Tamandua tetradactyla: one gene and its partner. The protein of the gene in region 2 purifies or fractionates together with the protein of the main gene of each other region. This does not show direct contact. Links are inferred from orthologs where the notes say so. Each region holds a gene or a part of one and is shown on either strand. Other genes may lie near its edges.

The links. Proteins that work in one complex are often made in the same cells at the same time.
Region 1: the proteins of TACC3 (region 2) and CKAP5 purify together in Homo sapiens (co-immunoprecipitation; 5 studies listed by BioGRID and IntAct, with this or other methods). This does not show direct contact. The link is inferred for Tamandua tetradactyla from reciprocal best matches to the Homo sapiens genes TACC3 and CKAP5.

What each region holds. Positions count from the first base shown.
Region 1 is NC_135334.1:123,573,618-123,581,082, forward strand, and holds the start of CKAP5 (cytoskeleton-associated protein 5), read right to left. Parts: upstream 3,001-7,465; 5' UTR 2,877-3,000; intron 2,188-2,876; exon of another isoform or gene 2,166-2,187; intron 1-2,165. UniProt on the Homo sapiens protein: Binds to the plus end of microtubules and regulates microtubule dynamics and microtubule organization. Acts as a processive microtubule polymerase. Promotes cytoplasmic microtubule nucleation and elongation. Plays a major role in organizing spindle poles.
Region 2 is NC_135345.1:1,404,964-1,412,102, reverse strand, and holds the start of TACC3 (transforming acidic coiled-coil-containing protein 3), read right to left. Parts: upstream 3,009-7,139; 5' UTR 2,848-3,008; intron 863-2,847; 5' UTR 862-862; coding exon 700-861; intron 577-699; coding exon 434-576; intron 1-433. Other genes in the region: TMEM129 (E3 ubiquitin-protein ligase TM129), read left to right, coding at 3,577-3,781, 6,297-6,771. UniProt on the Homo sapiens protein: Plays a role in the microtubule-dependent coupling of the nucleus and the centrosome. Involved in the processes that regulate centrosome-mediated interkinetic nuclear migration (INM) of neural progenitors.

The DNA.
Region 1 (7,465 bases), on a different chromosome or scaffold from region 2:
GTTAAAAAAGGTGGGGGTGGGGAACCAGATCTCCCCTCACCCAGCTGACACAAATACAAAACTATGTTTTCTAAAAGATTTTCCAAATTAGTCTGCTGATGCTGCTTTAAATCCAAAGACACAGTAACACAGCCAACTGGTTAGTTATATACTGTCCTTTTCACTACAAAGAACACTATACCAGTTTTGAAAAGTTTTGCTCAACAAATATTTTTTGAGCGTTTTCTTCCAGGCATTGTTTAAGGCATTGTGATCACAAGATAGAAAAACCTGTACTATGCTTTCATAGTACTTACGTTCTGTGAGGAAATCACACAGTATATAAGCAAACAATAAATGCTATGAAATAATGGAAAAGGAAAATGAAGAAGAGTGACTAAGATGGCTTCTCTAATTGGGAGATTAGAGAATGCCTCTTTAAAGAGATGACATATAAGTTGAGAGCTGAGTGGAGCCTATAACTTAAAGACAGACTTAGATAGGGGTCCAGTGTAAGTTCCACGCTGAAAACAGCAAATGCGAAGGCAAGTAACATATTCTGCACTCCAGAGGGAAGAATACTAAAATCCCTTAAGAACCTCAAACCTCTTCAACACTGGCCACCAGGAGTCAATGAATCATAATTAGATCAAAACCTCAATTTCACATTCTTTATATTCAGCTCCCCCACTCTCACAGCTGCCCATCTCTCATATTGTGATCAGTGTTATCTTGAACTGCTTGCATCTTCCCTCAAAAAACTACCATGCCCTGTCATTCATTCATATTTCACCACATGTATGATAGAAGTTTAAAAACAAGGGGGGGGAGCATAGCCTTTCTAAGTCTAAATTTCCTTATCTGTAAAATATTGTTACATGGATTAAAAAAGATAAGTATGGCACCCATTCAGCATTCAATAAATGTTAGCTACTGCTGGTTAAAGTATTTGAGCATTTATTTTATTCAAAACCCAGAGGTGGGCTACAGGGATCATAAAAACTAAAATTTGCTACAGTATACTGTTGGAGAGATTAAATTGTGAAATTCTTTTAGGTCTGGAGATTTGTCCTTTTCTGGTTCACCCAGGTATTTCTAGAACCTAGTACAATGTTTGATGTGCAGTAGATACATTAATATCTGTTGACTGACTGAATGAATAAAGGAGACCCCATTAAATTGAGAAAAAAAAAAAAGAATAAACAACCCCAAGATTTAAAACAACACCCAAAGGCATTGTTCAAGATGTTTATTATCTCTAAGAGCTTCCCCCAAACCTAGAATGCTATTTCTAATATTAAGGGTACTTAAATTTACTACAATTAAAACCTTATTTCAAAAATTGAGCTGACAGCTGTAGGTTATCTCTGTGATGGAATTATCAAACCACTGTTCATAATCCAAAGTTGAGGATTCAAATTTTAAAAGAGAATGAAGTATAACATTTATTATTAACAACTGTCTTTGCTTACCACTGCCTAAGTAAAAAGACTTCAAAAACCTGTGTTAATTTTTCTCTCAATACTTTAACTACTAGGTTTAATTTATGCTGGCAACATAAATTGATTTCATTTTTTCTATATTAAGTTTCACAAAAGCAACATTACATTTTGTTTGGTCACTTAAGAAAAGCCCAGATCTTTTATGACTTCGTAAATTTCAAAAGCTTGTTAGCTTAATTATTGGTAATTACTCTTTGGGTCAAAGAAGGACTTTCCAGGGAGATGAAAATGGAGAAAAGAGGAGCTCAACTTTTCTAAAAATGAGTTTCAATTACTATAATTATATATAAGAAATAAGACAGGCAACATTTCTGGGCCAAGATTTGATGCCTTGGTTCCTAAGAGATTAAATTAGAGCCATGCATAAATTTGGAGCAACTTCTGCAAAAGCCACTCACCCTCTGTTACTGATGAATGAGAGAACTAATTAAGATTCACCAACACGACTATGTTTTCCAACACACAGTAGGCACTCTGGCAACGTCACTTTCTACCCCACAAACAAAACGGGGTGCATTTAAATTCCACAATGACCACTACAGCAGGGTAACTAACTCAACAGTGCTAAGGGCTAAAAAGGTAAAAGCCTGGTTTCCCAAACCCCCACCTTGAATCGCAAGGCCTGCTTAGCCTACATCTCTGGCTACTGTAACGCGCCCCCAAACCTCAAAGCTGGACAGCCACCTGAACTCTACCCACGCCTTCCGAAAGGGGATGCCTCGCGGTGCAGAAAGCCCGGCGCGCCAGCGGGGCGGTGACCGACCGAGTCGTTAAAATCGCAGCACACCTCGAGTCGGGGCGGGGGCCCAGGTGCGCGCCAGGCCCCAGCACGGCCGCCCTCGTCACGCTCCGAGGCCACCGGGCCGCTCACAGCCCGCACGGGCTTTCGCTCACTTATTCATTCCTCCGACAGCTACGCGAGGGGCGTTACAGCAGGGCGGGCCGCGGGCCCCCTCGCCCGGCCCCGGAACACCTCGGCGCCGGGCGCGCCCCAGCCTCGGGCGCGCCCCAGCCTCGCCCGCGGCCCCCAGCCGCCGCCCCCGGGCCCCGCCGTGCGCTGGGGCGGCGGACCCCAGCCTCGGCCTCGGCGGCTCGCGCCCCCCGCCCTCCCAGCCGCGAGCGCCCGGGCCTCCGTCCCGCCTCGCCCGCGGCCCCCAGCCGCCGCCCCCGGGCCCCGCCGTGCGCTGGGGCGGCGGACCCCAGCCTCGGCCTCGGCGGCTCGCGCCCCCCGCCCTCCCAGCCGCGGGCGCCCGGGCCTCCGCCCCGCCTCGCCGCTTCAGCAGCGCCGGGCTCGCGGGGCAGGAGAGGCGTGCACCCGTGTCTCGGGGCCCTCCGCGCACGCCGCACTCGGGCCCCGGGCCCTAGACGGGTGGGTGAGGCCCACCGCTCGCTCACCTCCGCCGGGCCAGCACCCTGGGGCCTGCTCGAAGCCGCTCAAAACCGCTTGCGCCGCCGCACACCCCGCAGTGTTCTCGCCATTTATTGGCCCTTGTAGGGCCGCCCCGTACCCTGCTATTGGTCCGTTTGAAAGAGCTGTGGGCACGCGCCGCCTGCAGCCTTAAAGGGGCCGCTAGCCTTCCAGGCGGCCCGCGGTCCCGGGAGGAAGGGCGAAGGGGGCAGGTGGAGCTGTGCATCCCTGGCCGAGGCTTTAATCTCACGTGCTTAAACTGCTGTTTGCACCTGACATTTTTTCCAGTCATTTCATTAACCACATGCTGATTGTGCGGCGAAGTGCTGCGAGGGAAACGGGCAGCTGGGTGCGGCGGGGCATCAGGGCGCGGCGCTGGGACTCGCCTTCTTCTCTGGGATGACAGCCGAGCAAATCTTTCTGGAGCTCATTTTCCTTGTCTGGAAAATGGGGACAAAGAAGCTTTCCTCGCAAATTTAGGGTGAGGATTTAATATAGCTAATTGAAAATAACTGGGAAAGGCCTTGAATAAACTCTTAAACATTCTGCGAATGCTTACTATTCCTGTTTTTAAAATAAGAAGCTTAGATAATTTAAGGAAAGCAATTTGGAACTATATGAATGGAGAGCTGTAGTTATTTAATGAAGCAAGACATTTTTTGATGAAGCATCTATAAAGGGGATGTATTTTTAATCCGGGATTTGAAGAATATGTCGATTACCAACAGGCCGAAAGCTGGAGAGGAGATGGATAAAAGCAAATTAAAACTTTTTTTTTTAAATCTGTCAAGTTGAAATAGATGAAAACAACCTTGGGTTGACAACCATTTGGAGAAATAGACACTCAAACTCACTGATGATGGGAGTATAATTGGTACAAACGTTTAGGAGGACAATTGGCAGATATTAAGATGTAAAATGTATGTAATCTTTGACCCAGTAATACCACTGTTAAGATTTTATCCCACAGGTTAAAGAAAATAGGCAAAGAAAAATGCACACTGCAGTACTGCTTGTGATAGGAAACTACATATCCATCAACAGAGAACTTGTTACCTACATAAATTATAGTTTTTTCATTCAATGGAACACTAAACCACTGTTGAAAAGAATGTGGTGGGTGTGCGAGGGTGGTTCAGTGGTAGAATTCTCCCCTGCCATGAGGGAGACCCAGTGATTCCCCGCCCACGAACTTCCCAAAAGAAACCAACAACAAATGGTGCTACAATAACAGGATACTCACACGGAAAAGGAATGAAATGTGACCCAGCCATACAGCACTAAAAAAAGAATATAGCTAATCTATACATGCTGATATAGAAAAATACACAAATTTTATTAATTGAAAAAGGTACGTTGCAGAAAAGTATATATGGGATGATTTATGTATAGTTATAAATGTATGTGCATTTGTGCACATGTCCAAAATGATTAGAACATTCCTGGAATTGCAAGAAACTTAAAAGGAATGGGACTGAGTTTTTGTTTGTTTGTTTTTGTTTTATCATTGACATGTTACTTTTTTTATTAGAATGGGGAGGGAGAACATGTCTAGTTATAGGAAAAATGCAAGCAAGAGGAGAGACAAGAAAGTGTATTGTATGTAAGGGAATGAACGTGTGGGTTTGATTTTAGAACTGCATTCATGTTGGGAAGTAGAGATTAGGAATGGATCGTGTAATGCCAGAGTAAGGAATGTGTGCTGTTTTTAGTAGGCAATGGGGAGCTATTGAAGGTTTCTGAGCAGGAGTAACAAAATCCAAACCCTACTTTAAAAAATTAATTAGCTTGATTGTCTAAAATGAGTTAGAGCTGGAAAGTGGGAGGCTAATTAGGAGACACATGAACTAATAGCAGTGGCAATGAGAACAGATTAAAGAGATAGTGGAGGATTTGGCAATTGTCTAGATTAGGTACAAAGGTGAAAGTAGTTTTGGTAGATGAGTCAAAAAGAATGCCAGGTTTTGAGTGTAGAGACTGGGAGGGCAGTGATTTCCTAAATGGAAGTGGGAAGTCGGGAGATACCAATTTGTCAGGGAAGGCAAGGAGTCTAGTTTTAGCAATGTTTACTTTTAGGTACCAATGACACGTTCAAATGGAGTTATCTAAGTAGGCCTGAAAAATACAGAATGGGAGCAGGCAGAAGACATTAGGACTCAAGCAATAGAGATTTGAAAATCACCTCCATAGAATGAAAGGCTGAAATTGTGGTAGTGGATGAGACCACAGGTGAAGAGTAGAGGGAGTGAAATTATGGGAGTTGAGAACAGATTCACATGTGGGTAAGGAGACAGAAACCAATTAGAATAAAAAGGTTCCAGTAATCTTCGGGTTGTGAATACAGAGTCTTGTTTAGTCATTGGCCATTGACATGTTTACCGGAACTAACCTGAAGAGTATGCTTAAAGAGAGGGTGATGGGAACCTAGAATTTTGATTGATACAGGATGTGTGGAGGCCAGGTCCTGGAGAGTTTTACATCACAATGCCATAATCCATTTTTGTCTCGGATGGGCTAGGTGTAGTAGCTCTTGTAGGAGGTATGCATTTGATTCGACTTCATTCATTGGTTTATTCATTTGACAAATATTTATTGAGTACCTCATGTGTGCAGGAAATGTTCTAGGCCCTTGAACAGCAAACCAGCCAAATCAAACCAAACCTGAACGATAAACCACCCTCCCCTCGTGGAGCACACACTCAAGTGGGGAAGCAGACAGGCAACAAACAAATAAGTGATATAGCATGTTAGAAGATTATCTGTGCAATGGGAAAAGAAAAAAAAAGAATAAAGCAGGCAGAAAGGAATCAGGAAGTGGAGGTAGGGAAGACTAATTTTTAAAAAGGGTGGTCAGAGCAGGTTTCACTGAGGATGCCTATCAGGAAAGACTTTCAGCCACGACTGCATCTGGGGAAGAAAGTGCCAGCCAGAGGGAACAGCTGTCCAGAGGCCCCGCGGTGGGAACATGCCAGCAGGGTGGAGAAGAGTGAGGCCACTGGAGCCGCAGCGGAGCAGTGGGCAGTCTGCATCAGGAGATGGGTCTGACAGATAAAGTGGGAGGGGGCTGGTAGAGCATGTGGGGCCTTACCCATACTGGGTGTTCAGAGATTGCCTGACCAGTGATCTTTTGCAGTCTAGGATAATCATCAAATAGCATTTATCAATGTATCGATTAGTGTTATGTCTGCCTTCTTTGTTCTAGGGGTCTCCCAAAGGAGAATATTCAGAGGACAGTGAAACCCTTGTGCACGTTAGAGGGCAAAGGGAATACTTTATATTATCGCAACCAGAAGCATGAAGCAAATGCCAGATGTTGTGACTGTGGAATAACCAACCATGCCGGACATTTTTATAAAACCTGCTAGGACTGCGACAGTGCTCAGTCCATCTTCATCAGAAGTGGTATTCTGGTCAAGGCATTGCTGCCTTGGGACAGGAACCTGCCTTTTCAGCCCAGAGAGGAGCAACCTCGATGGAAATCTCCCTTTCAACTTTCAGTTCAGGCATCTCCTGAAGTATGGCCTGGAGATAGCAGTGCTGACATGAGTGCAGATTTCAAGTGACTGGGATTTCCTACCTCCACTCGCCTCCGAGACCGAAAGGCTTACACGAGCGTACATCTGGTTGCATTTAACAAGCGCGACTGAATTCAGGAATGAATACCTTCTCCTTTTGGAGCTTCCCTATCTGTAGCTCCAAGAATGCCGGATGACCAACAACTGTGGCCACAGAAGCATCAGCCTCCCAAAAAGGAAGGTGGTGGAGGGGAGAGATAGGGACCTTGGCAGCAGGCTGTCAACAGGCCTTTACAGGCTGGAAGGAAAACCACTGAGGGCAGGATAAGTGAGAGTACCTGGCGCTTTATGCCCTGTTAAATGGAATAAGCAGATTGTGCGGCTTGGGGCCTTAGGTTTACACTCAGTTAGACCGTCTGGGTCTGTTTTAATACTGTTTCAAGGAGTCCAAAGTTGTGAGCTGGAGCCTTGGCTGGAGAGAAAAGTCTGTCTGTTCCCTGTGCTGAGCTCTCCCTGCCCCTGCCAGCTATTTTAATGGGGAAGCAGTCTGTAAGGAAAATAACTATGGGAGTGAGGGAATGTTTCAAAACAAAGATTGAAACATCCCAATCATACATCCTACTAAATGGGTCAGTGGGGCCATGTTCACATGTGAAGGAAAAAACATAAATATAGACTGTTTCTTTGCCATGAAACAGACGCAACCACGTTTATTTTATCATGTCCTTGAACAGCGATTAGAGAATTAAAGTTTGACTCTTGAATGAGGTGCATTGCACTTAGAATCTCGTCTTATAGATCCTTTTTCTAAGTTCCTATGCAGCGCTTACTTTCTGTCTTCTTCAGGCCCAGATTGGATGAAAGCGTCACTATTCATGCCTCGGAGATCTTTCTACCTTAGGTTTCACAGTTTTTTCAAGGTGCAAAGAAGGACAGTGACTATATATATATATACATATTTTTGGGGGGTGGGGTGGGGTGGGGGGGTTCATGGTCCAGGAATCGAACCCGGTCTCCCACATGAAGGGCGAACATTCTCCCACTGAACCCAGTGACTGTAT
Region 2 (7,139 bases):
GGGCTACAAAGAAGCTTCCTCTGATTAAAATAAACTCAACCCCTCAGGACTCAACTCCAACCCCTAGCTCACTCTTACTTCGCCCAACAGATCATATAAAGCACAGCCCCGCCCCTTTTAAGAATAATGTCTCAGTGTAGACCATGCAAGAATTGAGTCACAAGCAGAGACAGGAGATGAGGAGAAACACAGCTTCCCTGGGGAGAGGCTCAGGACTGCGTAAGGAGTTGGAGAAATGAGAGCAGAGGCCCAGCACCTGGCAAAGACACATCGCAGGAGGAAAGAATGGAATCTGAACTCAATCCAAACACCTGACCGTTAACTTTCCCACAAGTAGAGGGCTTCGGAAGCCCCATACCCGGGCACCGTATAAACACCTGCAAAGGCCCGTCGATGGTGTTAGAGCCACAGCACACAACAGGCCAACACTTACTCATCTCTTTGTGTCCAGTCACGGTGAGAGTTTGCCAATCCAACAGTCTCGTCCAGAGTAAAAGGAGCTTCTAGTTTACTGGTCATACTAGGACTTAAAATCCTGTGTGTCTGTGGATCCCGCAGAGGCGTTTGAAAAGTTACCTACAGGGGAGCGAGAAGGAACACATGCCTGTTAAATGATTCTCGGCCATCAGCAGGACTCGGTGGTAGCAGCATGCCAGCCTGGGGGCACAGGCCACACTCCGTGGGGATGGACTGACTTGCCTTCATAGCTCTGGCTATGCTCTTGGGTGGCACATTTTCTTTCTGTGACAGACGAAGGACAGACGACTTTCCGGTTAGTTCCGGGGGTGAAAAGAGGAAGTCACAAATTTCGGTGGCTTTGTCACAAGTGACGTTTTCATCATTTAAGATCTGCAGACTCATTCTGGAAAAGCAGACCACGCCTCTGTCAGCACGGGGGCAACAAGACTGGTGCAGCACATCCAGACAGGGGTGTGATACAGGTTGTCCCCTTTCTGGGCCAGGCGTGGCTGCCTGCCCAACCCAGCCTCCCACAGCATGTCCTTGGTGAGCTGGGCAGGAGCGCTGGAGGGTCCCCGTCTGGTCTCAGGAGGCCTTGACTCCCACGAGACCGAGAGCCCAGAGGGCCTTCAACCGGAGAGAAGAGGAAGACTGAGCTTGTGGAATCACCTGTGATCCTGGGCTGTTTTGTTAGGTAATAAGTTAGAAGACCAAGTACTGGCCTGGGAGAATATTCACAGCTGAGGCTGCCTTAGTCTCCCCAGAGCCTGACTCAGGTGGTCAAGAAACAGGGTGCAGCCTAGGCTGTGTGGGGTGTGGGGGTTTTGTGTCTCAGCTTAGGGGACAGAGCCCAGGTGTCAAGTCAGCAGAGAAGAGAAATGCTGAACAGTGAGCCATAGTTCGTGCTCCCCTGCCCCTGGCTGGAAAGGGGGGAGGGCAGGCGAGGGTCAGCAGAGGGGCCTGAAGCCCAGGAGGCTGTCCAGAAGGATCTGGTAAATTGCTAAGGAGCCTTGCTAAGGGGCCTCAAGTCAGGTTCAGCAAGTTCCACAATGGGCCTTTGCTGCTCCCAGGCCCTGAGGGCGTTCCTAAGGTAGGTGTTGCTAGAGTTGAGTGTGGTGGTGGAGAAGAGTGGAACCAGAGAAAGGTCCGATGAGGCAGCCACCAGTCCAGAATGCAGGATGGGCTGCATTCTGAAGAACAAGAAGGCCAGGGTGGCTGAGCAGAGGGGCAAGGAGTAGCCTGGAAGCGTGGTTGGAGGAGAGTGGGGTCCACCACGTGGGACATGAGGGGGCATGGGGTCGGGCAATATCACTGCTGGGCTTCAGAAGACCCTTCTGTTACATAGCAGAGGGGCTGTGAGGGGGAAGAGGGAACACAGGCAACCAGAAGCAGTCAAGGTGTCCAGGAGACAAGGCTGGGCCTGGGCTTGGTCAGTGGGTCTACGTGGACACATGAGGGCAGGGAAAAGTCACAGATGATTCTCCGAGTCTAGCCTGGGTTAATGGGTGCGGGGGAGCTGAACTGTGGGGGTGTAGGGAGGGTGTCTGGGGAGCCACAGGGGCATCTGGAACCTGCAGTTAGAAGCTGTGCTAGTCCAGAGAAGTAGTTACTGCGGGGTCCTGTGCCAGCCAGGGACTGGGTCCGGGTGGTGGCCACCACTGGGGATAAAGCTGGAGCGAGGCGAGGCCTGTGGCTGCACCCGGGGGCCGACTGCGTGGAGGTGGGGAAGGGAGAGGTGCAAAGGAGACCCAGAGGAGCGGGGCACCGGTGAAAAGAGCGTTCCGGAGAGGAACAAGCCGGTGGGCTTGGCAGGACAAGGACCGAGACCCGGGTGGGATGCGCCAGCACGCGGTCCGCTGGAGACAAGGTGAGGAAGTGTCTCTGAGACGCGGTGGCAAAAGCCTGATTGGAGCGGGCCAGAGAGCGAGCAGGAGCTGGAGAGGCAGTGCTGGCAGCAGCGACTGGGGAAGCGCTGCCGCAGAGGGGGCCAGAGAAGCGGGCAGGAGCTGGAGGGACGAAGGCTGCTCGCGGGTGGCCGCGCGGGGCCCGCCGCGGGCGGAGAGCAGGTGGGGTCCTCGAGGGAGCAGCGGGGGACGCTCCCCAGCCCCGGCAGGTCCCTCCCACCCCTGCTTCCGCCAGCCGAGTGCGGCCGCGGGCCGGGGGGGGGCGGGTGGGGACCGGAGGGGAGGGTCCAGGTGCCGGGGGGGCCGCGCCTGGGGAGGGGCAGGGCTGTGGGAGCCGCCGCTGCCCAGTCCGCGCTCGCCCACCCCCAGGTCGCCTCAGCCAGCCTGACTCCCCCGAGGTCGCAGGCGGCGGGGCCGACCCGGCAGAGGCCCGGGGCCTGGGAGGGCGTAGACTGGGTCGAGCCGAGGGGCGGCGGCCGCCTACCTGTCCGCCGAGCTCCGGACCCGCCCCGTCGCGGCCGGGAGAAGAGAGGGGAGTACAGGGAGGAGCCGCGCCGCCGCCGGAAACCCACTCAGGCCGCTAAGTCCGCCGCGCCCGCCGATTCAAATACCGACGGTTGACTCCGCGCAGCCAGTCAGAGCGCGCCGGGGGCAGTCAGTAGCCAATGGAAGGCCGCGCCGCGCCGGCCCCGCCCCTCGCGCACGCGTTCCACTTCCGGGCGAGGGGGCGCTTCGATCCTGGGCCGGATGGGGCGGAGACTCGCATGCGCAGCGGACGGGGGCGATCTGGGAGCCGTTTGCTCGGTCTTCAGTTTTCTCAGCTGTGAAATGGGGCCAGTTGTAGCGCCTCTTCCACGGCAGGTCGCGGGGAGGGGCTGCATCCTCGCGGAGAACGTGCGGGCGGCCTGCGCCTTTGGGCCGGGCTCGGGGACTCCGCTTCCCAGAGCGCCCCGCGGCCGGGACTCGGCCTCCCAGAGCGCCCCGCGGCCGGGACTCCGCCTCCCAGAGCGCCCCGCGGCCGGGACTCCGCCTCCCAGAGTGCCCCGCGGCCGGCGGGATCGGAACTCCATTTCCCAGAGCGCCCCGCGACCGGCCAGCGGCGGCCTCGTCCAGCGCTCCGGGCCGGGGCCGGGACGCTCGCGCCTCTTCCCCGCGCCGGGGCCGGAGGTGGGACCGGCGAGCCTCTCTCGAGCGGCTTCCCGGCGGCGGCACGATGGACAGCCCCGAGGTCACCTTCACCCTGGCCTACCTGGTCTTCGCCGTGTGCTTCGTGTTCACGCCCAACGAGTTCCACTCGGCCGGGCTCACCGTGCAGAACCTGCTGTCGGGCTGGCTGGGCAGCGAGGACGCCGCCTTCGTGTCCTACCACCTGCGCCGCACGGCCGCCACGCTGCTGTGCCACTCACTGCTGCCGCTCGGTGAGGCGGGCCGGGGGCCCACGCAGACCCGGGACCCCCCGAGAGCATCCCCACCCGAGAGACACCCCCTCCATCCCCGCCCCACACAGGTCCCTGCTTGAGGTCCCCGCTTGAGGTCCCTATCTGTCTCCACCTAGAACCGCTTCCCCACCCAGATCCCTCTCCCCAGTGAGATCCTCTCAGAGACACCCAGTCCTCGCTGAAGACCCTGTTTCTATCTGATACACCCCATCTCTGCCTGAGACCCATCCTATTGAGGTTCCTGTTTCTGCCCCAGACCGCATCCCACCCCTCCAGACCCCATTCCCGTGGAGACCCCCTTTACGGCCAAGACACTTTGTGCCTACCGAAGCCCCCAGATCCCAACCCCACCGACTCCCGGGCCTGCCTGGCTGCTGTGCCACCAGTCGCTGGGAATGCCCTGAGATGGAGAGTCACTAGCAGGCTCTAGTCCCGGCCATGGTCCAACAGGCACCTCGGGCCACTACGGCCCTTCCAAGTTGAGGTGCTGCTCACCAGTGGGCCCTCTTGGTGGCAGGGTGCTTGGCCTGGGTTGGGGCTGTAACCGCACAACCCCCCAGGGTTCCAGGCACACTGCCCTGGACTGGCTGAGCAGTGTTTGGCCAATTCTGTCGATAGGCTCTGAGTCTTGGGGTCAGCCCTACTCTCCCTGCACAGGTCCTTGGTGTCCTGCTTAGGGTCAGGTCAGCCTGGCCGGTGTGGGGAGGGCGCAGGTTGGGGGCTCAGCCTGCCTGTACCAGTCCTGGGCTGTAGACCTGTACGTTGAGCACATCCTGGGGACACGTTGGGGGGCGGGTACCCAAGGCCCTAACGTGGCTTCACCAGGGTGGCTGTCTCCCTCTTGGGCGTTGGAGTTGGGAGGGCAGCGTGGGGCGGGTGCAGAGGAAGGCGTGAGGCCTGGGGACTCGGAGCCTCGGGTCCTGCGGCTCTCCTGGCTGCCGGTGAAGGCTTGCACGCATAGGGTGGGGGAGGAAGGCCTCAAGTCGTGTCGCTGCGTCCGCTCGTCTTCTTGGCCAGGGCTTGGTCCTCACTGAGGAGGAGTTGGTTGTGCGGCAATCCCGGACAGGACAGCGTTGTGCTGGGTGGAGTGCCCCAGGTCATCCCCCCACGGTGGACCCTGTGCTGGGAGAGGTGGCCGTGCCCCCTAAGAAGCCAGACTCACTGGCCTCAGTCCTTGCGGCAGGGGGAGCAAGTGGGGTCTGCCCTGCAGGGCCCTGCTCCGAGGGCCGGAGAAAGGCATCTGTCTGGCCGGGAGCAGCTGAAGAGCTGCACAGCTTGCAAGTGGCAGAAGCCCCAGCATTGCTGTGGGGAGAGGGTGCTTTGGCCCTGCCTGGGACAGACCGTGAACTGCCGCTGCTGCTGGGGGTCCCATGTGGCCGTGGGCATCTGCTGTTTGTATGTGGGGGCAGTTCCAGGTGAAGGGCTTCTGGGAACCCATAGTACTAGCTGAGTCCATCGGAAGAGTTGGGTTGGAGGGTTCCCTCGAGAAGGTGGAGTTGTTCTTGGCCTTGGAAGATGGGTACAGGGAGAGCAGGCAGAGATGGGGGTTGAGAGATTCCTGGTCCCAGACCGGAAACGCCAGCGTTGTCAGCTGAGGGGACGGGTGGTGCTTGGCAGGGACCCAAGGCAGCCTGGGCCTCCACAAGGCTGCTGCACCAGCCGGGGAAAGGATGGGCCAGAGGGCCAGGGGACTGTGCTGGGGTGCCAGGCAGGGGGCCTCCCGAGACGTGCAGGGTCCAAGGACATGAGCAGAACCAGGTCTGGTGGGAGGTCGAGGCAGGAGTGGGGGACTTGGGAGAACGAGGCTGGGCCGAGAGGGCTCCTGGGTCTGGAGGCAGCAGCAGGGGTGTGTGGGTGCCTGGTAGAAAGGAAGCCCCAGGCTTGCTGCCTCCCACCCCTTTCTGCCCCTGAGTCCCTGTGGGGTGTGTGACCTCCCCCATCCTCAGCCAGACCAGGAGAGAGACACAAAGCAGGAGGCAGCTGGGAGACCGTGCAAACTGGAGCTACACTCCCTCGGCCTGAGCCCCACCTGCCAGATCCTGGGGAGCTCACAGTGCCTGGGCCCTCAGCCTGCTTCTTTGGGGCTCAGGGGTGTGGTCCCCAGAGAGCTCTTTCCCTGGGGAGAGTCGCTGAGGCTCCCAGCAGTTTTCTGGAGCTCATCCTAGCTGGGCCCATGCCAGCCATCGTATTTGGGTGGAAGACGAAGCCAGGCCATCACATTTGTTTTTGCTTTTCTGGATTTCTCTTTTTTCTCTTGTGCTTGGATATTGTTTATGTAAAACTGAAGTAAATTAAAAGCATTTTTTTCTAACTTATCGTGCCGCTGCTGTGAGCAAAGGCTGAGCTAGGCCTGGCCACAGAGGTGAGAGGCAGAGAGGCCCACTGCCCTCAGCCTTGCCCTGGGAGCTGACCAGGGCTGGGCACAGGGACCCCGTAGGAAGGTGGGCATGGCCTGGCCAGCCCTGTACCCGCTGATGCCCGCCTCGTCCTTTAGGCTACTATGTGGGCATGTGCTTTGCTGCTTCAGAGGAGTGGCTGTACGCCCCTGGCCGGGCCCCAGAGGCCTGGAGACTCTTCCTCCTGCTGGCGCTGACCTTGCCTGCTGCGGCCTGCGCTGTGATCTGCCACTGGGCCCGCAACCGCTGGGCCCGGCACCCGCTGGCCTGCACCCTGGCGCTGTACGCTCTCCCGCACTCGGGCTGGCGGGATGTCGCTGCCTCCGTCAACACCGAATTCCGGCGCATCGACAAGTTTGCCACTGGGGCCCCGGGCGCCCGGGTTGTCGTGACGGACACCTGGGTGATGAAGGTGACTACCTACCGGGTCCATGTGGCCCAGCAGCAGGACGTGCACCTGACCGTGACCGGGTCGCGGCAGCATGAGCTCTCACCAGACTCCAACCTGCCCGTGCAGTTCCTCACAATCCGCGTGGCCAGCGCCCACCCCCACGTGAGGGCCTTCGACATCCGGTAAAGCCGCAGGGGTGGGGGCCGGGCAGGGGGATGGGGGTGGGTACGGGGCTCTGGGGCACAGGGGGCCAGGCTGGGGGTGTGTGGGGGAGGCACAGAGTCCTGGGGGCTGGGCAGGAGGGATGTGGGGGAGGCACGGGGCGCTGGGGGCCAGTCTGGGGGGATGTGGGGGAGGCACAGAGTCCTGGGGGCTGGGCAGGGGGGATGTGGGGGAGGCACGGGGCACTGGGGGCCGGGCAGGGGGGATGTGGGGGAGGCACGGGGCACTGGGGGCCGGGCAGGGGGGATGTGGGGGAGGCACAGAGTCCTGGGGGCTGGGCAGGGGGGATATGGGGGAGGCACGGGGCACAGAGGGCCGGGCAGGGGGG